Linked DNA regions of Struthio camelus. The protein of the gene in region 2 interacts with the protein of the main gene of each other region in a biochemical or structural test. Links are inferred from orthologs where the notes say so. Each region holds a gene or a part of one and is shown on either strand. Other genes may lie near its edges.

Region 1 (7,951 bases), on a different chromosome or scaffold from region 2:
CTAGATTTGGAGGCCACGTACTTTGTATCAAGATTACATGGGTTACAATAATCTAGTTAGATGAATTTTGTTTTACATTGAGCCTTGGAAGCGTATCAGTCCACAGAAAGCAGCCAGAATTAATATGAGAATTACTAGCAGAATTACAGCAGTACCAGTTCTCCAAAATCAAATACAGAATTTATGCAATATTCCGCCGTCACAAACCTGATGATATAGCCACCCTTTCATCACATAAAGGGTAACGGCATCCTAATTAAGAACTCATGCCTTATGTTCAACAGAAACAAACTAATGAATTGAATATGAAGATGCTATAAAGTGGGATGCGACAATAGTCTTTTGCCTCGTGTATAAACTAGCATCAGTAAACAATTTATTTAATGTAGAAGTCACGTGGTATAGGCTGTACTGGATTTATAGCTACTTGCAGTTTAGAATTAGCATGCCACAACAGCATAACCATCTCACTGGCTATCATACAAGCTTGCTATACTGCTGCTGGAACCATAAACATATTCTCATTAGTGGCCCATGGCAATTTATATCAGAGAATAGCTTGTGTCACACCATAGACTGAAGAGCTGCTGCTGTGCAGCCAAATGTTAGCTTTTTTTAAACAGATCTGTAACAATCTGGCTACTTTGTTATGACAAAAAATCTTCTCCATGTACAGACTGATACACAGGTACCCATTTTATTTATGGTTTACCAAACTCAAGGGCCTAATTCCCACCAGTATCCTAAGCTTAACTTGAAAAATTCCTAAATCTGCATTTTGAAATGCCTACTGCCTAGATTATCTAAGTTTTAATACGCCCATCATTCACAAAGTCACATTTAATGGCTGCTAAGCTAGTAAGACAAAACAGGAATACAGAATTGGAAGTCTTTACCTACTTTCAGTGCTGAAGGTCACTGTATGTAAAACATATTTCAAGTTTCTTTCCATTATCTTTCTGAAGAAGGGCAAAATTGGGTCCATGGTAGGATTTTTTAAACAATACTTATTATTACGCAATAACTGCACACAAAAAGCCATTGCATAGCTCACACAGAATGAAACCTTTGGTGAAGAAGGGAACTGTGGTGAAGGACAGGCAGCTCTTCCTTGTCAGAAGTGAGAAATTAGTTTAATATGCACAAAAGAAAGACAGAAGGGAAAGAGATCCTCTCATTAAATGCTCACCATTTGAGCCCTGCTTAATATGTTGACTGATAACTAGCATACGCAGTTGCAACAAGCAGAGGCCATTCCAAACAATGATGCCCATCTGTTATGGTAGCACTTTAGACTTAGAACTTCCAGCTGCCACTTCTGGTTAGATGTGCCACATTATGCATAGCCTTGCGTACCAAATGAGCGCTGCCTGAACTCCCTGATCATGACTTTTGCAGTGTGAGTATCATCCCGCATGCGCATTAACTGGCTGAAGTCCTAGTGACAGAGCGTGCATGTGTACATGCAAGTGCGCAGTCTTTCTTCATGCCCTAAGACAGGGGATAAACCCATTTCAGAAAGTAGGCTAATCTTGCTGTTTTATTTAGAGCAGGCATCTCAATGTTTGAAAGCATCGTGCATGTCATGTCTGAAGACTATGAAGAGGACCCTAAGGTGACAGTTAGTTTTGACTTCCTACCTCAGATCATTCAGAGTATCCTATTTAGGAAACTGGTGATGGTCATCACCAGCCTCCCCTTACTGGCCCAATTTCCACAGCCTAAGTGGTTTTATAGAAGTTATCCCTTTTTGCTCTAGAGGGACCGAGCCTAACACTTCACCACGACATTAGCATCTAATATTATAAACTTCTAAGCTCTAATCAGTAACTCCTTGTTTTCTGGCAGTCTGACGACGATATTTTTGAGCAGGAATGGAGCAGAAGGTGAAAAGAATGAACGATCTTTCCCCTCTCCCAGCCTAAGTATAGACATGGACGCAAAAAGCTCCATCTCAAGAGATGATTCTGTTCATATGCTTAAGTGTCTCATGCTTTGGCCTGCAAGGTACACATGTAAGCACATCACTGTCCTCTTAGAGGTCTCTAGAGGAGTCAGTACAGGGTCTCCCCATGTAGAATTAAGTGCATATTAAGGCCTCTGTAAGTTGAACCCTTACAATCCCAGGAAAGTTGGAAATGCTGAAGTATTAACATTTTAGACCAATGCAGGCCTCCCTCATCTCTTGCAAAGACTCCAAAGCAAGCTGTATGAACTGAGCAGTTTTGTGCTTTTCATCATCCATGGCTGATAGCCCCCTCAACCACTGCTGTACAGCACGTGGCAGCTTTACCGTGTTCCCAAGAGTAACGAAGCGCTGTAAAATAATAGTAAAGTTACATGTGGTTATATGCTACCATGACCTGAGGTCAAAGCAGTTACCTGGTTTTCATACTGCTTTTTTCTGTTCATTTCCATTTGGGCAATTTCTTCATCCGGATCCTGCAAGAACTACAGAAAGGGAGAGATAATTTCAAATTACAGCGACGGAGCAGGGGGAAACGTGCCGCTCGCGACAGCGGCGGGCGTCGGGCCCACCGGGGCGGGCGGTGGGCAGACCACCGCCTGCCCACGGGCGGCGGGGGCCGCGCAGAGCGGGACGAGGGGCTGCAGGCCCGACCTCGGGGCAGCCACGGCGCAGAGACGGGCAGCGGGGCCGCAGCCGGCCCGAGCCATTTTGCCGGCTGGGTTCGCACTCACCGTGGCCACATCGGCTTTCCTCTTTCGGGCGCGCACGGCCCCCTCGGCGCCCCCTTCGCCCTTGGCGGGCGCCTTCTCCTCGCCGTGGTCACTGCCGAGAGAGGAGGAGAAATGGAGGCAGCGGCACCCCGGGGCGGGGGCCCCCGCGGAGGCCCGGGCCTAGGCGGCGGCGGCGCGGCCGCCCGCGGGACTCACCTCTCGCGGCGCATGGTGCCGGCCTGGGCCGGGGCGAGCTGCGGCCCTGCGCGGGCGAGGGCGGCCGCTGAGGGCGGGCGGGCGGAGCAGGCCGCCGCCGCCGCCACAAAGGGCCGCGGGCGCGCGGCGCGGGCAAGGGCCGGGCACCGCCGGCCGCAGCCCCGGCCCCGCCGCCCCCTGCCCTGCCCTGTCCCGCCCGCAGCGGCCCGCGCTGCCGACCCGCCGGCGCCTTCCCGGGCGAGAGGGCGGCGGGCGAGGGAGGGAGGGAGCGAGCGCTGCCCGCCCGGCGGCAGCGGCGGGGTGCAGGGCAGGGCGGGAGCGCGGGCTCCGCTGGGCGCCTCCTGCCTCACGGCGCGGCCGCTCCCGTCCCTGCGCACAGCGCGGCCCGCGCCGAGCGGGACATTTAAACGCGCGGCGCGGGGCCGCCTCCCCGCCCGCCCGCCGGGCCGCACACGTGGCCCCGCGCCCAGCGCCGGCCCGGCCGGGGCGGGGTCTGCGGGGGGGCGCGGCGCGGCGCGGCGCGGCGCGGCGGGGCGCCGGGGCCAAGCGGCGCAGGGCGCCGCAGGGCGCGGGCACCCGCGCGGCCGGGCCGGGTCGGGCCGGGCGGGCGGGGCGGGGCGGGGCCGCGCCGGGGGGAGGAGCCGGCGGGCCCGACGCGGAAGCGGCGGCGGGAGCTGCCCGCGGCGCGTCGACAGGCGGCGGCGAGGGCCCGGCGCGGTCAGCGAGGGGCGGGGCGGGGCGGGGCGGGGCAGCACCGCCGCCATGACGGTGCCCTCCTGCCCCGCCGGCCATGGCGCTGCGGCGGCTCTTCGGGCGGCCCCGCTCGGCCGTGGTCGGCGCGGTTCACGCAGCCGCGCTGCCAGGTAAGGTGCTCGCTTCCCCTCGCCGGCGCCGCCCCCGCCCCTCTGGGCCGCGCCTGAGCCGGGGGCGCGGCTGCCGCTCGTCGCCGGCGCGGGGCAGGCCCGGGCCGGGCCCCGGCGTGCGGGAGGGGGCGGCGGCCGCGGCCGCGGCCGGGCCCCAGGGAGCCGCGGAGCATGGCTGCGCGCCCGCAGCCGAGGTGTTGGCCGGGCTGGGCGCCTCGCTGCTGCGGGGAGGAGGTTTGGAGGCGGCGGGTGGGGTGGGGGGTGGCGGCAGCGAGCGCGGGGACGGAGTAGCGGCCGCCGGCAGCGCTGCGCCCCGCGGTTGGGGCGGCCGCAGCTGCAGCCGCGGGGCCGGGCCCGGAGCCGCCCTGCCCCGCGCCTTCCCCTTCCCCGAAGCAGCTTCCGAGCACCGCGGCCAGCTTGCACCGCGCCATGTCGGGTTAAGTCGGGCTAAAGACTGCCAGAGGAGCTGTTCCGAGTGCAGATCTCAGGCTCCAGGTACCTGGCTTTAGGAGCCCACGTGGTCAGAAAAGACTTCAGAATTATCTTGAGGAAAACTTTTGCTTTTTTCAAGCAAAACCCGTGCTGAGCGTTCTTTCCTGTCAGGAAGTTCTTACTTCAGGAGTAGCTGAAGATCAGACGCTACCAGCCTTGCAAGTTAGAGTTTTAATATAGTTCAAACAATCTTAAAGTCAGCTCGTGTTTCGTGCAGGTGTTCTGCAGAGCCAGTGGTCTGCCCTTGCCCTAGGTTATGTTGCATGAGCATCACTGATGAAGGATTAGCAGTAATAAGTACAGCAATGACAAGCTAAAGGCAGATTGGGTGCAATGAGAGATTATAGTGGATGTTCCTCAAGTTTGAGAACTTGGTTTTAGGAGCTGAACCGCGAGAGTGGATAGGTCAAGTTCAGTTAAGGAAAGAGATGCCGTTAAGGCATGCCACAAGGAGACACAGCAGCCTTTTAGCAAGTTTACCTGTTCCTGCCTATTTCACTATGCTAATCCCTGCAGTTATCTTAACTGAAAACTTACCCTGCCTGGTTTTGATTTCCCCTTGCACTGGGGTAAGCAGCATTGTTCTTGCAGGGACGCCGAGAAGTTCTCTTCCGTTGACCCAGATCGTTGATCAAGCTTGTCGAGAGGCAGAAACTTACAAGGATGCCGGAGTTGTAAGTATTGGCTTTCATTCTTCTTGTGGCAGTATTTACGCAAAGCTGCTTCTTTATAGCTAGCATTTAAAACGTTGAGTCCAAGTATACCTAGAACTTACTGAAAGCATCTTAAACACAGAGTTTAGGAAGAAGGTCAAAATACAAGATGTAGTTTTAATAGAGTAAGCCTTCTTAGCTTTTGAAACCTAAGCCATGTATTGAGTGCATGCAGAGCAATTGAAAAAGCTGCACAGTTCAAGTTACTGAAGTAGGATTGCTATCAATTTTTAAGAAACAAGTCAATTAAAAAAAAAAAAAGCAGATGGAAAGTTGACTACGACATTTAGTGTTGCCAGCATTTTAGGTATCTGGCTGTAGGAGGCTTCTTACAGTCTGACAAACCACTATATTTTTAGCTCTATGCAACACTTTTTGTGAACTCATGGAGGATTGGCATGTGCACAGGCATGGCTCAGTCACTTGTAGGCAATAGGATTCTCCCATGGTTGTATTTGTGCTGCTTAGACCCTTTTCTACCCATTTTAATCCTTCCATCATAGCCCTCTGGCAGAGAGCTTGCCTGTTTTGCATATCTAGAGGAGGCCCAAAAGGCGGCTCTCAGCCAGAGGCTAGAAAAGGCAGGTACTACTGCCTGAATTGCCATTGGACCTAAGGTGGTGTAGTAACCTTCGTAGGTCAGCAGTTTTTAAACAGAGTTTATGTCCCTTTGAAAGGTCAGGTATGTTTTAAAGTTCATTGCATCTTGCCTTCGTGCATTGGTGTGCTCTTTCTTTGACCTGCCTGCAGTATTGCTGGCGTGGTAGCGTGGTTTCGTAATGTCCGAGACTTAAAAATGGCTTAAATGGACAAGTAGTCAGTGCTCTGAGCTGCTCTTTTCTTCTAAACTTTAAGAACAACCCACTTGAAATCTTTTTTTTTTTAATGGCATAACTTTAAATTATACTTTACAATCAGAGCAAGATTGGATCTAAACTTAATCTGAATTACAGAAGGCCAAAGTCAAAATTCTTGACAAGTCACAAAGCAGGTTATGAACAGAGTAAGGCTTAATTAGGAAAGAGTCCTGAGAAGTAAATTGTTGAAAGGATAAACAGTGTGGAAGAATCATGTTTACGTAGGCAGGTTTCAGTGCCCGTGAGCCGGTCAGGCATGTGTCTACTCGGTTAGAATAATCTTCAACTGCAAGATCTGTGGAGTAAGTCAGTTTTCCTCCTTTCCGTACTTTCTGAAAGAAAATATGTACAGTAGTTCTGTGTAAAGTGAAGTAGTTCTGTACTATGACTGTATGTTTTGTCTTGGCAGTTGCAGGATCGGTGTGAGGTACAGGATGATTTGATCCACATCAGAAGAGTGGCGAGTAGTAGTTGGTCTGCCTTCCTGCATTAGAGGAAGTGCTTACATGAGTGACCTATAATTCTCTTAAAGTCATTGTCACACGTTCCATGCTTGTTTACCTGTTTTCCTTACATACTGATTATACATTGAAACCCTTAGCAGCAGAGCGAAAGCACGATGTAAAGCAATACATAAAGTTGAGGGAGGGTAGAGATGCAGTTACTTTCGTTGCTGAAATGCATAAAGCTGAAAGCGATTTAAGAGAAATGTTAAAATCGCTATTACCACAGAATTTTAGTTCCTATTTTACACCTTGTTGTCTTTTCAACAGTTGTAATAAAGCCTGCTGTTCTAACTGGTCTATCTCTTCTCCTCCTGTATTGCAATGACTGAGCTCTAGTAGATTTTAGAACTAGCTCCCAGGTAGACAGGTGCATGACAGTCATTTCTCTGCAGATTTAGAGAAATTCAGGACTTAGTATATTTCATTGTAGGGCTCTTGAGAGTGTCAGTAAATATTCCACAATAATCATTCTGAAGTTAAGTAGCTGAACTTATAGGTCCATACATAATAGTGTTACAGCTGTATAACAAAAAAAGTCTTTTATTAAGGCATAAAGGTCAGAGATAAGGAAGAGAGCTTCCATAGGTATCAGTATGGTTGCCTAACACTTTCTGGAATTCAGTTGTCTAGCTTTTCCTCAGTACTTGAGAGAGACATAGGTTTTCATGATGGATACTTCAAGAGATTCCTGGCTTTTGCATGTAGATCACCGCTCTTCCAAACTAGATTTTTTGCTTCCCAATGGGAATATGTTTGTTTCTCCCCTTCAGTACTGAAGAGTAAACTGCTAAATTATCTCTCTTTTTCTTGTGGAAAAAGACCTAGAAAGTTACAGCTTTTTTTTTTTCTTCTCTATGGATATATTCACTGACTGCAGTTCCAAATGCTGCTTACCGTAGTCTTTAAGATGTATAACCATCTTGTTACCACCAGGAGATGTTGGGATATTGTCTCGAGTTACTTGAATTAGTGTTAACATTCAAAAGTGAAGTATATGGTCTCACTCAACACGTATTGCGCCTGACAGTAAATTTTTATTCAGCAAAAAGTGACTTATCTGGCACGTTAGCAGTTTAACATAATAAATATGAGAGATCTGTGGTATTGGAACACAATAATGAAAACAAGTGAGTGTTCAGATAGGAAGTCATCTGGGCTGAAGACGTATTATGCTTTGTACTTGTGTTGCTGAACAATGAAATTCCCTAGACAAGACTTTATAAGCAGCAAATTATGAGACGTTATGCTCCCTCCCATTTGTATTTTCTTTTGTTTAAAAAAAAAAAAAGTAGTGATGCAAAAATAGAGTGCAAGTTACTTAACTTTTATTCACTCCACTCAGCCTGAGGGAAGCCTGCTTTGTAGCCAGAAAAAAGCAGAGTGGAAGTTTCTGTTCATTTCACTGATGTAACTCGCTTTACTAGTTACCATTATTATCTAGTTGCAGCTACCTGAATAGCTGACAGGAAAGACTGTTAAAGATGCACTTTTTCCAAAAGAATTATTTTTATTTGAGCTTTTAAAATGCAGTATTGTGTTGCAAGTATTATGTTGCTTGTCACCAAGCAAGATTTCAGGTTTGCTTCTTTTGCCAGTGTGGTCTCTGCAGATGCCTTTGTTGCTAT
Region 2 (7,981 bases):
AATACACAGCAGTTTAACACTGGAAATAAATTAGGCCTTCTTGAAAAGTAGAGGTAACTTGAAGAGGCAAGTATAATTAAATAAATTACTTAAACCTGGAAGTATTGGATTATATGTATTACATCTAAACACAGATAGCTTGAGAAACCAATAGAGGATATTAGCTAAATGTAATATCATTTTGCTGGCAGGTAATCTAGCCAATACCAGCCAGGAAGAAAAAGACCTTCTTCTCTTCCATCAAAAAGTAACATATACATTTGCACCCGGAAAAAAACAGTATTTCAAAGTGTCAAATATAGCCTTGATTTCTGAAACAAGAAATAAAACTGTGATTTTCTAAAAAGTATCTACTTCGGCCATAAGATTAACAGGGAACAAAATTTCAACATGACATTTTCTGCTGGAGTTAGACATTTAAAAAAAAAAAAAAACTGTCTGTCTCACCTGATATCTTGTGATTCAAGAGAGAAGCTCAAAGTTACTGCCAAAAATTAGGCACAGTTATTTTTAAGTGGAAAAAGTAATATTTTTTTTCTAGAGAAGGACAAAAATACTACCACCTACAAGGCTGTTTTCAACATGAAATGAAATTCAGTCGAAATCTGTATCAGAAACAAAACCACCCAAAGCTGTGGAGGTAGCAGGTCCCATCCCTACAAGGGATATTTGAATATTTACTACGATGAAATATCTTGGCACTTGGGAAAGTCACTGAGAAAAATCAATACTCAATAGCATAGTCCCCTTCAACCCAAACTGTGACCCCTCTAATAAGAAAACAGTACATGAAGCGTTTCACACACTTGGATGAACAGGATAATACATTGCGAATGATTCAGCATCAGTTGAGAGGATGCATTAGCCAATCTAGGTAGGTAATTGTAGCAACGCTATTACTGCGGTACCTAAAGACTTTTTGAGTGTAAAAGACAGAAACAAGAGACTTTCTAGCACAGTCAAGCTGATATCTAAGTTAAATAAGACAATCTTACATATTGAAACAACCTACTTCTGCTACATCTCCATGAACTGCAAAGGGGGAAGACTGAAAGACCTCACAATGTCCAATAAAAGATTTACTTTGTCAACATAACTAAAGTGAGAGGCAGGTATTATATAAATGCATGTGAAAGAAAAAGCTTAAGATGCGTTACACAAAAGCCTTTCTCACTCTCCTGTCAACCTGCAAACAAAAATGCCTAAACAGTTGGGAGGCAACAGAGGGAGGCTACATGTTCTGTTGCACTTTTTAGATTTGTTTTGCATATGAGAGGTTTTTCTTTTTTTTTTAATAAAATATTGAAGAACTTAGTTTAGCTTTTAGTTCTCAGTGCAGCCCCACCCTTGATCATTCTTTCCTTTGTCTTGTGCTCTTAACAGATACAGCTCCTGTAGGCTGCACTCTCTCACACTCAGGCCTCTCCCTAGTGCCAGGGACTTTTATTGTTTGAGTGGAACACAGCCAGCTGCAAGATGGACAAGAATTCCCTCAGGTAGCCAGGCCCAATCTTATGGAGGATTTCAAGTACCTGGAATAAACTCTTAGATGGGAATCTTTGCACAAGGGGTGGGAAAAAAGCAGCGTATGAGATGTCAGGATAATGTGTTTACAATGTCCTTTGGTGCAAGACAGAAACTTTTCAAGAGAAACTTTTCCGGATATGAAACTCACTATCTATCCAGATGCAGACTGTAATTACTAAGCTTGACCAAATGCACGCACAGCAGGACCTGGCATACTCCAACAGCCAATCACGCAACAAAGAGGATAATTTGTTATTACTTGCTTCCGTGCCTACTTAGCTATCCACAAAGTTTTCCCACTTTGTTGAACTGAGACTCTAGAAATTTGACAAGCTTTAAGAAAACTAGCAAAAGGGTCAAAAAGTCTCAAGAGAAACAAGTTCTACAAGATTAAAAGCCGCAAGCCAAGCAAGTGTTCTGAAGAGCAGTTAAAAATTAAAATTTGCAACTAGCATTTCCTCAATTTCATTTTGAGCATACGTTCCGAAGATCTAATAGAACTGCTTCTTCTTGATGAACTTAAACTTAACTCTGTACCATGGAAAGCACTGATCCAAAACAAACTTTTAGCAAGTGTTGCCATTCATTTAAGTAACATCCTTAGGGAAAGAACAGTTTGGGGCTAAAGTTAATACTCAAGTTGGTTGGCAGCAGTTTGTTTCCATTTCCAAATCTTACTGTTTGTAGCCCAAAGTTTTGAAAATACCAATAAATGATAAAAAAGAATGAAATAATGTTTTAACTCAAGTGTATCATGCCTCAAACCTAGAGTGAGCTAGCCACGCTCAAAGAACATCTTGGATGCAAGCACCCCAAGGCTATTTTCTGTGTCAAAGACCCACTCGCAAACCTAGACAATATAAGTGCTCTTTACATTCATTATCAGGGATACACAGCGGGAGGAGGCGCAGGATTAAAGTGGCAATACATACAGCTCTGGGGGCAGAGAGGCAGGAAAAACAGAACAAGAACCGCAGCGGGCTGGTGCGCACTACAGAAAGGGAGGCTCAAGTACACAAATAAAAGCAGAAACCCAGCGGACACACGCAGCGCCCCCTCCCCCCTCCCAGCCCGGTTTGAACTTCTCCCGCTCCCAGGCGGCACCTGCGGCCCCCCGGTCTGCGCACCGCGCACCAGACCCCTTCCCCAGCCCCCCACATTTCACCCCCTCGGGACAGCCACCTCCCCCTGCTTCACCGCAACGCCAGCGAGGGCCCCCCCCGGCCTGGCTCCCCCTTCTCCTCCTCCACCTCACCCCGCGCCCCTCCCCCACCCCCGCAGGTGCCCCCGTTCCCACCGCCGCGGCCCCTCACCATGAACTTCAGGGCCTTCTCCTGCAGCACGGCCTCGGCCGGGTCCATAGTCCTGCGCCGCCGCCACCGCCGCCGGGCCCGGGGCCGGGGTCGCCCCTTCCCTCAGTGCCAGGCCGCAGCCAGCGCAGACAGGAACCTGCGCTTCCCCGCGTCCCCCCCGCTCCACCTCGCCCCGCTGCCCGCGCGGCGCATGCGCCGCCCGCAGGCCCACGGGAAATGGAGTCCCTGGCCGCTCTGCCAGTAAGGGCCTGAGGAAGACATGAAAACTACGAGGCCCAGAAGGCCTCGCGGCCAGGGGCACGCCGGGAGCCGGCCGGCGCATGCGCCGCTAGAGGGAGCGGGGGCTGATGGGAGTTGTAGTAGGAAGGGGCTGTGGCGGGCGTAACGGAGGGCAGAGCCGAGCAGGGCGCATGGCCGCTGCGGGGACGAGGGTGGCCCCTTCCCTGGGGGCGTCTGGGGCCTTCCAGCCCCAACCTTCCCCGATGAGGTCTCGGCCCGGCTCCCAAGTCAGAGCCCTGCTCGGTTACCAATTAGTGCCTTGGGTGCGGCTAATTGCCAGGGTGCCTGGCACCTGAGAGCGCGCATAGCTGCTTACCGGCAATTTATGGTGCCGATAAAAGTTTCGCTAATTGTTTTGTTTTGCTGCAGTTGCGCTCAATGCCTGAGTGCGATTGATTTCTAAGTCAATTATTGCTTGTTTTAGTACAGCCCCAAATACCATCTAAAATGAATCTTGTGCACTGGCATATATGTACGTATGGCAAATATGCATAGAGTTGGTACCAAAAACGTTTGGTGTCTTAGTATGGAGTGGAAGTTGGGTCGAGCGGGTTAAGTGTTGCTTCCTGGCAGGGGAACATGAAATTGGGAAACCTGCAACACTGGAATGGATCAAGTAGCCCTACACCATCCCTGAGAGATACTTGTTGAAAACTTGCTGCAAAGACAATTCCTCACATGAAAACAACCTGCCACTGCCCTTGCACTTAGATTTGTTTCTAATAACAAAGCTAGATCTATTTTCTCTGAAAATTACACCTACTTCTCCTTGCTGTATAAAGCAGCAAACAAGAAAAAAAACAATTGACAGGAGCCCTCTTATAACAACTGTGCATAGGCTGGAAGGTGTTTACCATACTGTCCCCCTTTTGTTTTACCTTTCTCTACAGCAAGCACAGCACTGACTCTTACTTAGGGTGTGATCCGGTAAAACACTCACATTCTTTCTATATTTGACTCTGCATCTTAAGTGAGGTGCCTTCAATTTCTTCCTATTTAGAAGCCACAAACCTCAGCATTTACTTGTCAACATGCAACCTAAACCCATTCTCTTTGTCACTGTTCAATCTACAAAGTAAAGCTTCATGTTGCAGGAATGATACCAGCATCTTCTGATAATCAGAGCCAGGACCTATCTACCATCTGTTGCTAATTCTTATGAAATGACAGCAACCCTTCCCATATCTGGCATTTCCCATAACACTGCGGTGCTGACAAGTATGGGATCAATGTAACAGTGGGGATGGAAATTATTTTATGACAAATAAATCATTTCTAGCCCTCGTAATCGTGGGGAAAAGAATAATCTTAAAATGATAGAATCCATCAATGAACAAATACATAATTCTAAATGTTATCCCCAAAGCATTTTATTTGCAATACATTTCATTATTCTGCTGCGCACACTTCTGAACAGAGTATTTGGTAAGAATAATGTTGCCAACTTTACCGTATTTTTCTCAGAGCACTTGAAGTTACATCAGGGCTTGGGGCTTCTAGTTGTTGCAGTTTATAGAGGAAAGTCTAAAACGTGAACTGGCATTCATCCTGTGGTCCAGAAATATGAAATAAAGAAGGGACCCCCCGCAAACTCACCCTATTTAAAAGGAACCTCAGGATTTCAAAGCCAGCTTCACAGATTTTGAGGCCTGACTCATGATTTCTGAGTGTCTGGGACTGGTAACACCAACCTGTTATCACATCTGGTACTGAGGCCAAAAGCCGAGAGCCAAGGATGGCCTCGCTGTGTTGTTGCACGGTACGAAATAAGGAGACAGTTCTTGTCTGCAAAACACGGAGGCCAATTTGCCACATTCTACACACCAGCCCTTTCCTCATCTTCTTTAAACGCCCCTTCATATCCCTATTTCTACACAGGATAATCAGAGAGAAAAAGAGAAAAGATGCAGAGAATATGCCCATTACTGAACTCCTTGCAGGGACATGTGCCCTGGGTGGCATCTCTTAACCCAATGGTAGGAGTGTGTCCTCCAGCAAATTACCCAGCCCAGGTGACACTGTGACATGACTCCATGCAGGCGCCGGGGATGGGTCCTTGCCTTTTCCTCTCCGGTCAGTCGCAATGCTAGGATCGGGAAGGTGCCTAGAGCAGTGGCGCCAGAGAATGAGGCAGGGATAACCGTATGCCCTGCCTCTAAAGTCCCAGGAGGTAGAAATCTTCCAAAGACAGCTTCTAGGTCACCAGGACATGGGCTGCTATTCCTGGACTGTCCCAGCCACACTCCTGGTCATTGTACTTTAAGCTCAGATTCTCAGTGATGAAACACCTGAAATGCTTGGCTGTAATGGGCCCGGGCATTTTCCAGGATGCTGACAGCACTAAAAACACTTACCACAATTAGATAAGTAACAGTAATTACAATGAGTCCTATAATTACAAAGGGATGGCTCCTCTAACTGTGTTGGAGGCGGCTGGGAGCTGCCGAAGCTTGGGGCATGGCCGCTTGCGTCTCCTCCCTCTGGGCATGATGCAGCTGGCTGGGATGTAAATGGATCCTTTTTGTAGCAGCGTGAAGGGCTCAAGGGCTTTGATCGCCTGGTTTATTTGTCAATAATATTTGATGCTAGCTTAATTGTAGGAAAATTGAAATGTGTAATGCTTCAGCACTAGATACCACTGTCCCAAAGCCCTTTAGGCTGATTGATCTATCTGGACTGTAACTCATAGGGGTTAATTTCTCTGGGTCATGAAAAGCACAGACTTGTAGTGGGGCCAAAATGATAGTCAGTGTTTAGGTACTGGACTCGACCTTAGTGGAAGGAGAGCGCAACTCAGTTATTCTCTTATACAACTGTCAGGATCCCACGGTGCAGGCTGACCACAGAGGGGCAAGGGGCCAGCCTCTGCCCCAGAGCGTTGCAATTTATGTGTGGGTTATGAGGCAGTACGTAGCACAGAGAGATCGAGGAAGTAATCGGAGAGGCAGCGTTTAACCCAACAACATTCAGCACAAAGCATAATGCCTTAACACTTGAACCTTGCCTGGATTTCCTGTGTTTGCAGCCCAGCTTTGTAGCGCGTTCCTGCTGAGGGCTGCTCGTTGCGGCCGGTCAGCCAGCTCTGCGCTCCACCAGCTTGCCACGTCCAGCATGTCCCAGAGCAGGAGAGTGGCTAAGCTGCTGAGCTGTGACACCTACTGGAGGCTAGGGCTGAAGATCCCTGCTACAGCCCTGTGCTATTGAGGCACCCTCATCACGCAGAAGAAGGAGAGACACTGGAGAGATCTACAGCGTTCAAGGCATAGGGAAGGTACACCGCAAGTTCAGCAGATTTTCAATCAATTAAATAACATTTCATTTGGATCACAGGAACCAAGAGCCAGACAAGTGTGGCCAGTGCCGACTCTCTGTGACAGTAGAGCTGCCCTGGCCAGCTCCCCTAACTGCCCCCACCCCCCAATTCAAACAAGATCCTATTCTTCCCTTCCTGCCCTAAACACCCTCACTACAGAGTCTGTTGCATGAAGCGAGCCATAGAGCGCACAGGGAGCTTCCAGATGAAGGATGCTACCTAACAGTAAAGATATTACTGTGATTATTTTTGCAATAGCATATTGCTCTGTGCATTCTAGACTCTACGGACCACATCCACGCCTGGTGTAACGCCATGTTAATTTGCTGTGGCAATCATTAATTGGGTAAGGAACAGCTGGTGCTTTGCTTTAAGTGAAACAGATTGGGTCAGTAAGTAACTGTTTGGTTAAACGATGTGCAGCAGGTACAGCCCTGCCTCTTCGGCACTCCAGAGGGGTTTCACTTCTTGTCCCAGTGACCCTTGGAGGAAGCAGCAAGATTTGGCCATGAAACGTTAGGGAGCTTTAATCAGTGCAGTTCCTTTGGGCGTTATTGCCTGAATTTTAATATTTTGAATAATAAAGGATTATTTTAAATTAAATTTGTGGGCTCGCCATCTGTGTATGTTTGGCCTTGTTTTCCTCTGCTTTGGCAGTCCCTTGGCTTTGTTCTTTCCAGGTTGCAACAGAAGAGGAAAGGAAAGGAAGAGACAGGAGAGCAGACTACCAGTGTGGGAACCTTTTGCTATTCCCTTTGCCCTGCAAGATCTTTGGGGCCGCAACAGCCCTTATTGTAGGTGCGTCGTACAATGCTGAACACCCAGATAAAGTTCAATAGAGTTAGAGCTCGTGAGCGGGAGAAGCAGCTAAGTGTGAGACAGGGATACGGCACCCAGAACATGGCCAAGACCACAGAGCATGAAGTATGTTCACTCTGTGGCTGGACAGGAGAGTACCCATTAGCTAGTACTAATGAAGGGTGTGAAGCCACCGATATGGATGGGATAGGTTAGATGTCCAGGCACGGAGAGTGGTTGCTCTAGGCTGACTCAGTAGTGCCTAGAGAGAGAGGCTTGTCCTCAGATGAGTCAGGCTGTGGATTCAGATTACAAGTTGAGCTGAGTTTACACCTCATGCTGCTGCAAAGGGGAGATGCATCCCCTCTCCCACCTCTGCCTGGCCACATGCTTCCACCTCGCACCTTGAGCTAGCTCTGATGCTCATTTGCCAGCGTGGCAAGCTGTTTTAATTCACTCCACTGGCAGAAAGCAGGGATTACAAACCAAACAGTTCTTTGTTGGCGAGTCAAATTGGCTTTTCTTGTGATCAGACACATGTCAGAGCTAGCACGAGAGAGGGTGGGAATCACACCTGAGGCTGGGGAGGATAGGATGTGGTGGAGAGCTGCTGATTCAGCAGGTACAAGGTGAAAAGCCCCACGTCTTTGCCCAGTCAGGGGTCTGCTGACTGCCCTGGGGATAAGGGGCTCTCCCTGCTGGCAGAGCACCATCACTGCTATTGGAGACGCTGGAAGGCCAAGGCAGAGAG
Region 3 (6,933 bases), on a different chromosome or scaffold from region 2:
ATGCCTGGCTGACCTAAGGGCACAATTAATGACAACTGTAATTACGATGTTATCAATGTAGAACTTTTAAAAAGGCTACACAGCTAATTTAATGGACATAAAATTACAACTTCCATTTCTAAGATACCTGGGTCAGAGCTGACAGTGACCAAGATCAGAATTCCTCCTATCCATTACCTAACCCCAAACATTTTCTCCTCTTGTTTCATACCTATGTTATTTTGTCACTGAGGACCAAAGAAAAACTACCAATATGTAGAAAAAAAAGTTTCAAAGAAGCTAAATTTAGACTTTACTTTAGTTGCTTAAGGAAATAAATATGTTTTTCTCTCTTAAGACAAACACTTCTGAATCTAGAGCTGGCAAACATTTTCAGCACCGAAAGGTGGGAACATTTCAGCGGGTAAATTTTGAAGTGATCTATGAAAACATAGAACAACGAAACAGTATCTCTAAAGACTGCAGAATTTTCTGATCAATAGCTACAACAGCCTACCCTAAGTTAGTAAAAAATACATTGTTTTTCACTGTATCTTTGCAACTTCTATACAACATTTAGTATGGGTGTGTGTAACTACAGAGGCAGTCTGCACCACCGAATCTTAAACACCCCCGGCAGTACGGAGCATCCTTCATAGCGAAGACTCAAGCGTCTTCACACTGGGTTCCTCTGCTTCCAGGGTCACCAGTGCTGATGGGCAGGGTAACACAAATTTCCTAACTGCACTTATTTCTGGACCTTGCATGTCTCCATGTGACAGTTGCTTGGGGAGGTGTTGGGAAAAGGCAGTGCTGGAAAGCAGGAACTTTGCTTCTCATGAAAATTCAGAAATTTATTAATTACCAAATTCAAGTCAATAGCTGGTTGTAGGTATCCGTTACTGAATGTTATGAAATCACATAACAACATCTCACTGAAAAAAGCAAATTACATTATTTTTAAAAGATTAAGTACATAATAACATTGAAAACTAATTAAAATAATTGTTAACTTTCAATAAACAAAGCAAGAAATTTTTATACCTTACATATGAACGAAATATTGCTGTCTGTTTTCTACCCTCTCACCCCCTACCAAGGTGAGAACAAGGTATTGCTCTCTCCTAGCACACTTTTTTTTCCAGGAAACTTTTCTGATTTCAAATGTATACCAAAAAAACTCCATCTAGATGCTAATTTAACTACGCATCTCTATCAAGTATGAAGTTTATCTGCTACAGTATTATTTTTTAAAACACACAACTTGACACAAAATGAAACAAAGCCATTCTCAGTTTCATAATCTTAACTCTATCCAAAACGTACTCATTACTCACAAGAGAAACCAGTTTGATTTGTGATAACTACTGTTAAATGGACACTTCTTTCTTGAAAAAGGGGACAAAGGGTGGAAAGGAAAAGGCTTTCTTTTTCCATCGACTGGTTAATACTTCAGTTTAAGTTGTTATTTAACAAGTCTTGCGCATATCTCAGCACTGAGTTTCCTTGAAATTTCCAGGTATACCCTCTGGGGCAGATCCTGACAATAAAAATTCAGCATAAATGTCACTTAAATTACTGAGCCAGGAAAGCTTAGAGAAGCTGAGAATCTACAGGCTCATTTTTCCTCTTTCATTTTCTCAAATGTAGTCCTAACTGTACTGCTCAACTAAACTGTAGTACAAAACACTGCAGATAACTAAGACGTCATTCTAATTCTTTCATAGAATGGGCAGCTGCATTCTCTCTTGAAAATATAAAAATCTGTCTTTAAACCAGAAATATATTCTGACTAGCATATTATTCCAATAGTTCTAGAATATCAACAAAACCCAGACCTACATTTTCAACCGAGTTGTGCGAGCTTGACAGTGGCAGTTTAAGGCTGCCTAAGGTGGTGTAGCACCTGACTCTAGTGAAGTATAAGGTGATGTAGGGTATAAGGCGATTCAGCAGAGAATACATTCACTTAATATTGACTTAATGTTATTGTTAAAAAGAATAAATGAAAGGAGGACTTTGAAGCATAGAATTAAACATGCCTAACACATTATGCGCTTTAAAAATATGTGTTACTTTTCAAATGTAAAGATTAGAGCAAAGATTAGAGTATTTTTAACATAGAGTATTAGAGTATTAGAGTTTTTTATTAGATTAGAGTATTTTTAACCCTTAGCAAAGATTAGAGTATTTTTAACAGGAAGCTGAAATGCAGCACTGAAGTTGTGATGACCTCTAGCCTTAATCCTGCAAATGCTTACAGGCACTTATATTTTCACTCCTTTGAATGGAAGTACATACCAGTATACCGTATTAAAACGGCAGCCAAATAACACATAGCTCATCTATACTGAAGTTCAGAAATAACACTCTATTTTGTGTTCACATGGAAGAAGTCAATAGAGCTTCTTAATTGAAGAAATCAAAGCAGAAAGCGCCAACAAGTAAAAATAATGGTGAGGATGAACGGTTGAATCTCCTCGTTTTTAAGGCCACATGTAACAAAAACAACCATTCAGATCATACTTTTATATCATTGGGAGAACATTTCAGTTTCATTACTTACTAGTGCAATTTTAAAAAAATCCACCAGTACACCACATCCGAAAGCAGCTTTTTTTTTTTTTTTAAATATTCTTTGCGACATTCACTTGAAAGACCTTCTGCAATCCCCACCCAGGATCAGGACACCAAGGTGCCACCGGCAAAACCGTCTGCATGCTAACTTTTCCCCCCTTAAGGCCAGACAATGACCGTACAACCACAGATGCTCCAAACTGTTTCTCAGGTCAAGCCCGAACGCCACCTCTGAAACCAAACGCGCAACAACCAGCATACCCTTTGACAGCAAGCACCCCGCTCCCCCGTCAGCAGAAACGCCTCTCCAACTTTTTGCGTTTATTTGACAGCAGTTCACAGACATCTCTTCCAGGTTAGGACGTCCCCTTACAACAAACATCAGCAGAAAAGCCCACTGTAGCTGCGCTTTAAGAGTTATTAAACAGAAGAGTCCCGACGCGGTCCGTACGCGAACACGGAAGGCGTTGTTTAAATCCACAGCAAAAGAGAAAGCACAGTGGCAAGCAATCGCCCTGCCCAGAAGCTCCGCACCGGGAAGCGGAGGCCGCTCGTGTCGCCGTGCCCCGGACGGCGCCCGCGGGCAGGAGCCGCCTGCGCTTCCCTCTGCCGTGCTCCACGTCAGGCGGCAGCCGCGCCCGGCGGCACGGACGAGCCGCGGCGCCCGTCGCAGGTCCCCGAGCCCGCCAGGCTCTGCCCTGCGGCGCCCCCCGCCCGGCCCGGCGTCACCTCGCCACCGACTCCGCGCAGGAACGAGGAAGCGCCGGCAAAAAGGCGAACGGGCGCCAAGGAAGGGCAGGAAAGAGAGAGAGAGCAGCAAGCGACGGGCCAGGGGCTGCTGAGGGCTCACCCGGGGCAGGGCTGGAGCCGTCTCGTCGCGGTCGTCGTCGCCGTCGCCGCCGTCGTCGTCGTCTCCCGCTGGCGGGGCCCGGCCGCGCGTCCCTCAGCGCCGCGCCATGTAACCGGCGTGACGCCGTCGGCGCCGCCCGCGCCCTGGCTCCGCACGGACTTCCCCCTCCGCCGGCCCGCTGGCGAGGGCAGCTGAGCGGCACCGGCCTGCGGGGCCGCCGCCGCCTGCGCAGCCGCCGCCGCCGCCTCCACCTCCGCGGCCACCCGCCTGCCCCTGCCCCCCGGCCCGCCGCACTTCCTGACTGGAAATTCCCGCTGACGCTCCGAGAGCGCAACGGCCGCGCGGGCGGGGCGGGGCGGCAGGCAGGCAGGCAGGCAGGGAAGGGAGGGAGGGAGGCAGGGAGGGAGCGGGCAGCCGTTGGGGGCGCAGCCGTTGGGGGGGGGCAGGGAGGGAGCGGGCAGCCGTTAGGGGGCGCAGCCGTTAGGGGGCGCAGCCGTTAGGGGGGGGCAGGGAGGGAGCGGGCAGCCGTTAGGGGGCGCAGCCGTTGGGGGGGCAGGGAGGGAGCGGGCAGCCGTTAGGGGGCGCAGCCGTTGGGGGGGGCAGGGAGGGAGCGGGCAGCCGTTAGGGGGTGCAGCCGTTGAGGGGGGCAGGGAGGGAGCGGGCAGCCGTTAGGGGGCGCAGCCGTTGGGGGGGCAGGGAGGGAGCGGGCAGCCGTTAGGGGGTGCAGCCGTTGAGGGGGGCAGGGAGGGAGCGGGCAGCCGTTACGGGGAGCTGCTGTTGGAGAGGGGACAGGTAGAGAGGGCAGCTGTTGGGAGGGACTGGGAGAGAGCAGGGAGCCATTGAGGGGCAACTGTTGGGGGGGGCAGGGAGGGAGTGAGGGGGGGCACTGTCAAGGGGGAGCTGTTGGGGTGCAAGGAGAGAGCAGGCAACTGTTGAGGGGGAGCACTTGGAGGGATGAAGGAGCACCTGTACAGCACTGAACACTGCCAGCCTTCTTTGGAGGGGCTCTGTCTGTGGCTTCTCCCACCTCACTATGCTGGAAAAGCGCAGGAGGAAAAGCCTACCCTGGGCAAGGGAGGAGACAGCACGGAAGCAGGCAGGGCAGCGCAGAGCTGAGGAAGCGTCTGCCACCCACCCCTAGCTGGCAAAATCCCTCTCCCAGCTCCCAGGGCTCTCAGAACTGCTCTTGATCGGACAGGCCCTCAGCCTGAAGGAAGTTGTGTGACTACATGAGCCTTTTTGGCCTGGAGGAATTACCGCCACCACAAGAATAACCCTGTCCATGTTGAGTGACCCACGGGGATGCTGTCAAGACTTCTGTGGAGTCAGGCCTAACCAGGTGGCTGTAAATGTTTTTTTGTTTGTTGACCCCCAAAAAGTTTCTAAGGGAAGAGGGAATACACGTAGAGTGAATTTAAACCTACTAACATAATGCCTTTCTGTTACTTTCCTTTCATGGATCCTTTGTAAATGGAGGTTTATTCACTGCCCACCACCAAACATCTGAAAACAGTGCTGAGCAGGGGGTGCAGGCTACATGCCACCGTTGTTTGGTTTTTTTTTTTTTTTTTAGCTCCTGGCAGAGCAGACTTCCAGGTTAGTGGAACTTCTGTTAAATAGCACCAACCATCAATCATATACTGATTTTTTTAGTATCAAAATCTAGTGCCTTAGTACTGTAAGCAAATCTGTCAGGTAGATCTAAGGCTGAAGGGTGTACTGTCATTCAGCTGAGCGATCCTAACTGACCAGTACCATGTTTGGCCAGTCACAAATGTCGGATGAAATATTTGAATTTATTGAATTTCTTCTGAGGCTTAAACCTCCAGTTTGCTAAGAGTGAGGAGCATCTCAGCTTAGCAGCCAGTATAGCTCACCTGATGTGTGTTAGGCCAGGAATTCAACCATGCAACAGGGGAGTGCTGGTGGATGACTTTTGTTGTGCTAAGACTCTGCAAGGTAGCATATCTTCACCAAAGGATTATTCCTCTGAGAGATGAATGAGACTAGCAAAAATCGTAACTGAAAAGAAGGATAAAACAAATAACTTAATTAAATGGTGAGACTCATTTCTCTTATATTGAAGCAACAAACTCACATCCAAGGCAAAACTGAGGCCAAAATAAACAAGGTCAAATGATAAACAATCTGGGATAAAATCTGGTATATACAATAATATAATTATTAATAATTAATATTATTAATAATAATTAATTAATAATATAACCTGGGATAAACAATCACTGGGACAAAGAGACAGGGTTATTTTTTTTTACCAGACATGTCATAAAAGAAGACTATGCTGCTGAACACATCTAATCTATCAACATGGTAGCTGATTTCATCCCTGGAGAGGGAATAGATTCAGATGTTATACTTTGTGCCAAGATCTGAGTTGGAATAGAGATGTTATTTAAGATTAGTGCTGAGACTGTGAAAGGCAGCTTGGAAACACAAAGGATTTTCTCCATCTCTTAATAAGAGAACTGAAATCTCATACAGGGGATATATTCATATGTATGGTGAGAGTCATTTCCTTTATTTGGATTGTCACATCACTCTGTGATGCAGTTCTAGAAATGGATTCCCCCATTCTCTCCCCAACCCATTTTTTCATGACTCAGCATTTCTGAGTAAAATATGTTTTTCCTTATTAAAAAAAGCTACTTCTTGCACTCTCAGGACCCAATGTTCAGCTCTTCTGTGGAAGCAAGTACACTGAAGTGAGAGTGAAGAGAGAACTGGGTCCCAAAGCCCTGTGAGAAGGAAATTTAAATAGACTTTAAATATGTAAAGTGTTTCAAAATGAGATTCATTTGAAAGAAAAGGTGCCATGTCACAGCTAGTCACAGGTATGCTCACAGGCAAGACCTGTATGAACAAGTACCGGAAAATCAAACAAGGTGGAAAAGTTCCAAAACTGAAGGAGACTTAACTGGTGGATTTATTTTAAAAGGACACATTGTTGACTACTTCAGGGCTCAGCTTTCCTAGTAAAAGCCTAAGCAGCTTCCACAATGATCTAGCTTTTTTTTTTTTTTCTTCTCTCCTTTTGGTTCCCTTCTCAGGTAAATTCAAAACATAACTTTGTCTTTCTTATAACTCACCACTGTAACAGAAGCGTTACTTCCACTGAAACCCACAACAGCATCAAGCTGTAAGTCCATAATGGTAGAATTACCTTCTCAGAACACCCTGGATACATGAATTGCTTTAAAGCATGGAAACACTCACCTGAAAAGTCAAAAGATATTCTCCCCCCCCCCAGACCTGTTTACAGCCAGTAGGTAAACTAGGCAGACTATATGGACTCAGGTGCCAGCAGTTTGCTGTGATTCCTGCAGAACACAGGGCTGCGCTATTACCATCAAGATACTTTAATACCTGAACAAGATCAGCTCACAGATGAAGTGCATGTGCTTAAAGCTCCACCTGAGCAAGTAAACACTTATGTTGCTGAGCTGAGGGAGACATTGTGAAATTTTTCTAGCTGTGTCCCAGTCTCTCTTACTGGGAAGCTGTATCAG
Region 4 (7,877 bases), on a different chromosome or scaffold from region 2:
AGACAGAATTTTTTTGTTGTTTTAAGCGTTCAGCAAAGTGAGAAATACAACATAACAGTGCATGAATGTGGTAACGCAACGCAAGTATAACACTTCTTGGCTAAGTGAAAGGATTCCAGCTTGGTAACCCTGCAGACTGAAGCCTTTTGTGTGCTAAACAGCAGATACATCACACACCCCACCACACTTCCAACTATGCTCACATCTATTGTCTGCAGGAACTTGGTTTTTTAATTCTAAAATGCAGTATTGATAACACTAGAAATTAGACCACCAAAATTAAGAGTCAGACTGACAGAGGGATAGAAACAGCCCGTTAAGACTTTCCTGGAAGCCCTTCTGGCCCCCTCGCGCCAGATTGCCAAGCTTTTCTGCATAACATTAACTGTGAAGTGTTCCCCACCCCACTTTTTTTTTTTTTTTTTTAAGTGATGCTTTATCCTGATCTTGTGCCATCACAAATGAAGGTTTTAACACAACAAAGCGACAGGCCTTGTGATAAGACCTCAGGACTAAAATCACTGCAACTGTGCAATAGGATACTGTTGCCTTGAATCATATCGACACCTCCCAGATTGTTCCCTAGAAACCCCTGTATCAGGGCGCCATTGTCTTCCTTGGGGCTGTAACCTTCCTTCGCAGCCCTGCTCAGTTAACTACACTTTGAGGGGGGGGGGGCCAACTGTCCAACTCCAACAGTCTCCCCTTCTAAGTAGGTAGGTCTCCAGCTTTGACTTCCCAAGGTTCACTTTTCCCCGCGCACGTAACCATCGGCGCGATCTACGTCACTCTGCAGATGAAGGGGCGCGCGGCGTTCAGAGCCCGACTCACAGCACGCGTCCGAGGACCAGCCGCCCCGCGAGAAGGCGGAGAGGCTCCAGGCAGGCTGCCGTGCCGGCCCGCCGGGGCGCGTCACACGCGCCCCGGCTTTGTACGGGGCTGCAGGCGCAACCCCTTCAACACGGGGCACAGGCGCACGTCCCGCAGGGCCTTCCTCTGGTACGTTAGGGAAGGGAAAGGCTACACGAGCGCGGCTCGTACATCAAATAGGTCAATTCAGAAGACGTGCCAGCCTACAAACTCTAAGGATAAAACAGCGAGCGTGCAGGAGCGCGCTGCGAATTGTTTGCAGGAATTCCAGGAATCCGAAGGAGGGAAGGGCCACGAAGCGAGTGATTACAGAGAGGAGAATGCTATAAAAACAGGAGGTAAAGGACAAACACGAGGAGGGCTGTCAGGACCGGACAGTAGGCCAGGGCAAGACAGGAGCCCTGTAAGGGAAACTGCAGAGGTTGCTGTAGGAACAAGGAGAGACGTTAGAGCCTGGAAACAGCAGAACCGGACAGGGCACCGGGGCAGCGGGCGCTGGGAGGGGAGCGGAGCAGGGAGAGCAGGCCGGCAGAGCCGCGAGGCCTGCGGCCAGGCGGGGGGCGAGGGGCGGCCGCAGGGTCGCGGGAGGCAGGCAGCGGCGGGAGCGAGAGGAGAGCTGCCCGCCGGGAGGGAGAGGCAGGCGCTGCGGGGTGGGGGCAGAGGCGGCAGCCCGGGGCCGCGCAGGGCAGACGCACGGTGTGACCCCGGGCCGCCGGGAAGCACGTGGGCAGGGACGGGGCGCTGCCGCGGGCTGGGGCGGAAAGGGGGGACGCGGCGGGGGAGGAGAGCTGCGCGGCAGGAACCCCAGCGGGAAACGGGACAGGGAGGGAAGGGGGAAGAGGGGCCCTCGAGGCCTCCCACCGTTTGGGGGGGGGCGGGGAGGCAGAAAGGGGCCTTCGAGGCCTCCCTCCTTTTGGGGGGGGGGAGGCAGAAAGGGGCCCTCGAGGCCTCCCTCCGTTTGGGGGGGGGGAGGCAGAAAGGGGCCCTCGAGGCCTCCCTCCTTTTTTTGGGGGGGGGGGGGGAAGGCAGAAAGGGGCCCTCGAGGCCTCCCTCCTTTTGGGGGGGGGGAGGCAGAAAGGGGCCTTCGAGGCCTCCCTCCTTTTGGGGGGGGGGAGGCAGAAAGGGGCCCTCGAGGCCTCCCTCCGTTTGGGGGGGGGGAGGCAGAAAGGGGCCCTCGAGGCCTCCCTCCTTTTTTTGGGGGGGGGGGGAAGGCAGAAAGGGGCCCTCGAGGCCTCCCTCCTTTTGGGGGGGGGGAAGGCAGAAAGGGGCCCTCGAGGCCTCCCTCCTTTTGGGGGGGGGGAGGCAGAAAGGGGCCCTCGAGGCCTCCCTCCTTTTGGGGGGGGGGGAGGCAGAAAGGGGCCCTCGAGGCCTCCCTCCTTTTGGGGGGGGGGGAGGCAGAAAGGGGCCCTCGAGGCCTCCCTCCTTTTGGGGGGGGGAGGCAGAAAGGGGCCCTCGAGGCCTCCCTCCTTTTGGGGGGGGGGGAGGCAGAAAGGGGCCCTCGAGGCCTCCCTCCTTTTGGGGGGGGGGGGAGGCAGAAAGGGGCCCTCGAGGCCTCCCTCCTTTTGGGGGGGGGGAGGCAGAAAGGGGCCCTCGAGGCCTCCCTCCTTTTTTTGGGGGGGGGGGGGGAAGGCAGAAAGGGGCCTTCGAGGCCTCCCTCCTTTTGGGGGGGGGAGGCAGAAAGGGGCCCTCGAGGCCTCCCTCCTTTTGGGGGGGGGGAGGCAGAAAGGGGCCCTCGAGGCCTCCCTCCTTTTTGGGGGGGGAGGCAGAAAGGGGCCCTCGAGGCCTCCCTCCTTTTGGGGGGGGGGAGGCAGAAAGGGGCCCTCGAGGCCTCCCTCCTTTTGGGGGGGGGGGCGGTTGCGGCCGGACTGACCCGCGTCCCAGCTGCTCCATGGTGAGGCGGAGGTCGGAGACCGGCGAGAGCTCGGCGGGAAAGAGGGACTTGACGACGGCGGAGGCGGCGGGCGGCGCCGGGGAGAGCAGCAGGAGGCGGCGGCGGTGCGAGCCCCCCGGCGCACGGTGCATGGCGGCGAGCCGACTCCTTCCTCCTGTCAGCAACCTCCCCCCCCCGCCCCCCTAACAACCCGCGCCGCTTTGACCCCCGCCGCCACCCGTCGCCCGGCGCGCGCGCGCCGCCCGCCCGCTCCGCCCCCGCTCCGAAGCTGGCGCCAAACTCCCTCTCCGCCAATCAGAACCAGCGTCTCCTCAGGGCTTTGGTGGGTGGGTGGGGTTTTTTTTTTAGTTCTACCCCGCCCGCTCCTTCCTCCGACCAATCGAAACGCCGGGAATCGCCTTCCTTCCCCTCATGGGCTGCTTGACAGCGCTTGCGGCCAATAGGCTTTGCCAGAGAGGGCGGCCAATGGGGTGCCTCGAGGAATAGGTGGGGGGGGCTTGCTTTGTGGCCGGCGGAGAGGACTACATTTCCCAGCATGCAACGCCGAGGCGGGCAACGCGTGGAACGCGTTGCCCGCCTCGGCGTTGCATGCTGGGAAATGTAGTCCCCAGCCTCCCTGAGGCGCCTCCAGTCAAGCCGCCCTCATGGGGGCCTGTTACTCACACTACTCCCCTCACTCTTGTCGCAGCCCTAAAAAAGGCCGGGTGCCTTTTTTTTTTTCCCCCCGTTTTTTTTTTCCCGGCGACAAGGGTTGTTTTAAGGCCCGTAAACCTTCTCACCCCGTCCTGTTTGGGGTGAAACGCCCTCCCGCCACAGGGTGCAGCATCCCCCGGGGAAGCGACACCCGCCCGGTGCCTAAAAATATAAAGTCACGGCGTATAACCACGAGTGGGAAACGGCCATTCCAGGCTGGAAACTTCAAAGGTTTAAAACAAAGAAAGAAAACAAAAAACGAAAAGCGGCCGCACGGCCTTGAGGGACCAGAAGGCTGTGCTGCCATTCAGAGGGACCTGGACAGGTTGGAGAGTTGGGCGGAGGGGGACCTCATGAAGTTCAACCAAGGCAAGTGCAAGGTCCTGCACCTAGGCAGGAATAACCCCATGCACCAGGACAGGCTGGGGGTTGACCTGCTGGAAAGCAGCTCTGCAGAGAAGGACCTGGGAGTGCTGGTGGACAACAAGTTGACCCTGAGCCAGCAGTGTGCCCTTGTGGCCTAGAAGGCCAATGGTCTCCTGGGGTGCATGAGGCAGAGTGTTGCCAGCAGGTGGAGGGAGGTGATCCTGCCCCTCTCCTCAGCCCTGGGGAGGCCTCACCTGGAGTGCTGGGTCCAGTTCTGGGCTCCCCAGGACAAGAGAGACGTGGCACTCCTGGAGAAAGTCCAGCGGAGGGCTACCAAGATGATTAGAGGGCTGGAGCACCTCTCCTAGGAAGAAAGGCTGCAAGAGCTGGGCCTGTTCAGCCTGGGGAAGAGAAGATTGAGAGGGGATCTCATCAACGTGTACAAGTCTCTGAAGGGGGAGTGTCAAGAGGATGAGGCCAGCCTCTTCTCCGTGGTGCCCAGCAACAGGACAAGAGGCAACGGGCACAAACTGAACCACAGGAAGTTCCACCTAAACCTGAGAAAAAACTTCTTGACTGTGAGGGTGACAGAGCATTGGAACAGGTTGCCCAGAGAGGTGGTAGAGTTTCCTTCCCTGGAGATATTCAAAACCTGTCTGGATGTGGTCCTGGGAAATATGCTCTAGGTGACCCTGCTTGAGCTGGGAGGTTGGACTAGATGATCTCCAGAGGTCCCATCCAACCTAAATGATTCTGTGATTCTGTGACCCACGCCGCGGGGGCTCTCTGGTCAGCTTTGTCCCATCTCCGGATGTTTTCCTTCCTCCGGGGAGCAGACCTGCGCGCAGAGCTGATGGCAACGCACGAGGGCACGTTCACGCAGAGGGGCCGCGATGGCCTCTGGCAGCACTCGCGTCCTCTGCCGTCCTGTCTACCGCTGAGCTGCCGGTCCCGCGCCCCCCTCAATCCCGAGGCTGACACCACCCCAGGTCCCCGCTGCTCCGCAGCCGCCGTTTCCCCTGGGCCCCTTTAATTTACCACCTTCATTGCAACGCGGTTTCATGCAGGCAGCTACCAGCACCGTTAGCAACTCCGCGGCTTCACCCAAATCCCCCCGCGACTCCCAGCCCCAGGGAGCAAGGGTGCAGGGCGGCCGTGTCCCCACGTCACACCACACGCAGCCAAAAGCAGCCAGCAGAGCTGTCAAAGACCAGCGTGGGCAATCGGGGACCAGGGCTGGAGCACCTTCCCTGCCGTTCCCCTACTTATCCGTGTGGCTGCGCCCTCAGCAACAACTGCCACTGTGAGATCTGGCCAGGATACCAGCACGGACACCCCCAGATAGGCCAAGCGCATCTTTAATGCTCCAGCAGACGAGCAGCAGCGGGAGCAGCAGCAGCATGCGGACACCAGGCAGCCCAAGCGGAAGGGGAGTTTGCCACGCGACGCCGCGCCGTCCCCACGCAGCCCTCCCGCTCAGCTAACCAAAGGCACGGGTAGGGGACCAGGAGGCATCCGACCCCATCAGTCACACAGCCGGATATAGGATTCCGCTGACCAGAGCCAAAAGTATGGGAAGACCTTCTCAGTGAAGGAGGCCTTGAACTGGAAGATCTGTGTCATGTTTTCCACGTTGTAGAAGGTCACTTCGCCGGCTTCGTAGTCCAGGTGGACCCTGATCTGCCGAGGCGCTTCTTGCAGGACCAGTGGGGTGGGGGGCATGGTAAGCGCCATGTACTGGCGATCCCAGTCCAGCCGCACGGCCCAGATCCCTCCCATGGCGAGGCTGAGCGCTTCCTTCCTCTGCACGGACTCCACGGCCACCCCCACGGCCCAGCTGTCCCCGTCCCCCACCTCCAGCTCCCAGTAATGCCTCCCTGCCGTGAACCCCTGGGAGCCCAGGACGCTGGGGCTGCCTGTGAATCTCTTGGGGGTGTCAGGGAGCTTTTGCTGTCCTTCCCCAAGACGCACGGTTTTGCCGTCCTTCGACAGGACCAGGTAAGGGTTTGCCGTCTCCGGGTCCAGGGTCACCTTCACTAACGAACGACAGAGGGAAACGTCAGTCCGTCGTCCGCCGACAGGCAAAGCAGTGCCTCTCCTGACATCCCGCAAGCAGGCACGCAGCACATGCAGCCCCCTCGCATGGCACAGGACCCTCCCCACCCTCCCTGCAGGGACCCAGAGGCTGCAGCCCCACGTCCACCACGGGCGAAGCTTGGCAGAAGCAACACTTCCCAGAGCAGGACTGGGCCAAGCAGCGTCCCCACGCCCCGGGGCTCTTTGACACAGAGGAGGATGCTCTGAATTCCTGCCGACACACTGCGCTTTGCCAAACCTCTGCTTCCCAACATCCCCGTTATTGCTGGGCTTAAGCATAACAGAGCTGCAGCACTCCCAGCCAGGCTGGGCACAGGGGTACCCGAAGGGCCGCAGGGGAACAGCCTATCGCCGGGGGAAGTGAGGAAGCGTTACGTGTGATGGTGCCAGGCCAAGCCCTGCTCCGCTGTCAAGGGACAAGCGCCCACCAAAGAGAGAAGCCGCTCCCAAGGCCCCGCTCTGCCCGCTAACCAGGCAGTCTCATTGCAAAGCCGGAGCCATCTGCTAACGCAGGATGCTCTGCTGCCATCCTGCGGCCGTCCCGCAAGGCCACAGAGGTGTCACCGCCCAGCACCACCACCCCGGCCCCTCCGCTAAGCCCGCTCCTCCTGGGGCCTCTGCTCGTGGCGGGGACCGCGGCTTAGGGGAAACTGAGGAACGCCATCCTGCGAGTCTGGTCCTCGGCCACGAAACCACAAGGCAGCGACCAGCCTCACCACAAACAGCTCCGACCAGCTCCGAGCCCTGTGGTGCTCCCAGGCCCGAAGGCACCCCCAAGCGCGTGCAGAGGCATTTCCCTTCTGTGCCTAAAAACCAGCTCAAAATGCTTATGGGCCCCTCTTGCTCCGGCCACAGGAACGGACCCACCTGCGTTTATCTACTAAATCCCTTACAAATCACGGCGAAAGAAGAGAAACTCTCCAGAGAGACAGCGAAGCCGAGGGCCCAGCGCTGCCCTGGCAGAGGGTCTTGTGCAGTGCTAGAGAACGGTGTCTCTGGCGGTTTCTCAGCTTGGGAATGGGCCTGCATTTTTATAGTGGGCCTAGTCAAAATGAAGGGACCTGGACTCAGATGTCATGGTGTGAGCCTATCTCTACCCTCTGGACATGAGGAAACTTATTTCAGGAAAGCTGTTCTCCCTTGCTTGTGCCCACCAGCTCCAGAAACTTACCCTTTTCTCTATCCATCTTGTTCAGCAGATTCACTAGAGGAAGGAAAGGGGGAGGGATGAGTTCTCTTTCCTCTTGCAGCCTCTTTCCTGCTCCCCTTAGAGCACTGAGGCCATCAGAGATGAAATCCTGATCTGGGCCCCACTGCCCACCTCCTGCCGCCCACCCCAGGCTCCAGCAAAGCCTGTCTCAGAGCTGCGGCCCTGCCTGGAGCCGGTGCGATGAGCCCGTGCCCTGGGCAGAGGCCACAGCGCGAGGATGCTCCCGGGAGCAGCTCTGCCACGGACACGTGTGTGCAGCGGAGACAAGCAGGAGGCACAGCTCGTGGCTTCTGCAGAGCCCCCTCCTAAACCCCCTGGGCACCAGGCGGCTCGCAGATGAGCTTCAGCAAACGTGTTCATTAAAGATAGCATGGCCCAGTGCCCTGGGGCAGCGGCAAACCCACGTGGGGCCTGGGCGCAGGCTGTGCAGCAAGATATCGCTCACTGCTTCTTTGCTTTACCTTTGAATTCAGCCATGGCACCCATGACCAGCTTGCTCGTCTTGGAGAGGCTGCAAACTCTCCTCTGCAGCTCTAAGGAAACCGGCTCCGGGATCGGGGCTTTCGCTGTCTCGCAGCTAGGAAGACACAGCAACGTGGAGGTGAGCCCTCACCACAGCAGTGAGCCAGCACCTGGGGCCAGGATGGAGACAGCGGGGAACAATCCCGTATAGCAAGAGGAAACGTCTGCCTGCAAAATTCAGCTGAGCTATTACTCTCCTCATCTCACGCAGGGTCCTGCGGCGCTCAG

Evidence for each region.
Region 1: of the proteins of BTRC (region 2) and CCNE1, one has a biochemical effect on the other in vitro, tested with the Homo sapiens proteins (2 studies listed by BioGRID). The link is inferred for Struthio camelus from reciprocal best matches to the Homo sapiens genes BTRC and CCNE1.
Region 3: the proteins of BTRC (region 2) and NFKB1 form a complex in vitro, tested with the Homo sapiens proteins (3 studies listed by BioGRID, with this or other methods). The link is inferred for Struthio camelus from reciprocal best matches to the Homo sapiens genes BTRC and NFKB1.
Region 4: of the proteins of BTRC (region 2) and CDC25A, one has a biochemical effect on the other in vitro, tested with the Homo sapiens proteins (3 studies listed by BioGRID and IntAct, with this or other methods). The link is inferred for Struthio camelus from reciprocal best matches to the Homo sapiens genes BTRC and CDC25A.

What each region holds. Positions count from the first base shown.
Region 1 is NC_090951.1:14,457,006-14,464,956, forward strand, and holds the start of CCNE1 (G1/S-specific cyclin-E1), read right to left. Parts: upstream 3,015-7,951; 5' UTR 2,910-3,014; coding exon 2,896-2,909; intron 2,792-2,895; coding exon 2,701-2,791; intron 2,452-2,700; coding exon 2,383-2,451; intron 1-2,382. Other genes in the region: C10H19orf12 (protein C19orf12 homolog), read left to right, coding at 3,686-3,758, 4,842-4,924. UniProt on the Homo sapiens protein: Essential for the control of the cell cycle at the G1/S (start) transition.
Region 2 is NC_090948.1:16,134,291-16,142,271, reverse strand, and holds the start of BTRC (F-box/WD repeat-containing protein 1A), read right to left. Parts: upstream 3,015-7,981; 5' UTR 2,889-3,014; coding exon 2,841-2,888; intron 1-2,840. UniProt on the Homo sapiens protein: Substrate recognition component of a SCF (SKP1-CUL1-F-box protein) E3 ubiquitin-protein ligase complex which mediates the ubiquitination and subsequent proteasomal degradation of target proteins. Recognizes and binds to phosphorylated target proteins.
Region 3 is NC_090945.1:27,039,490-27,046,422, forward strand, and holds the start of NFKB1 (nuclear factor NF-kappa-B p105 subunit), read right to left. Parts: upstream 3,015-6,933; 5' UTR 2,939-3,014; coding exon 2,818-2,938; intron 1-2,817.
Region 4 is NC_090943.1:992,596-1,000,472, reverse strand, and holds the start of CDC25A (M-phase inducer phosphatase 1), read right to left. Parts: upstream 3,015-7,877; 5' UTR 2,893-3,014; coding exon 2,741-2,892; intron 1-2,740. Other genes in the region: E3 ubiquitin-protein ligase TRIM7-like, read right to left, coding at 5,345-5,856, 7,089-7,121, 7,589-7,704. UniProt on the Homo sapiens protein: Tyrosine protein phosphatase which functions as a dosage-dependent inducer of mitotic progression. Directly dephosphorylates CDK1 and stimulates its kinase activity. Also dephosphorylates CDK2 in complex with cyclin-E, in vitro.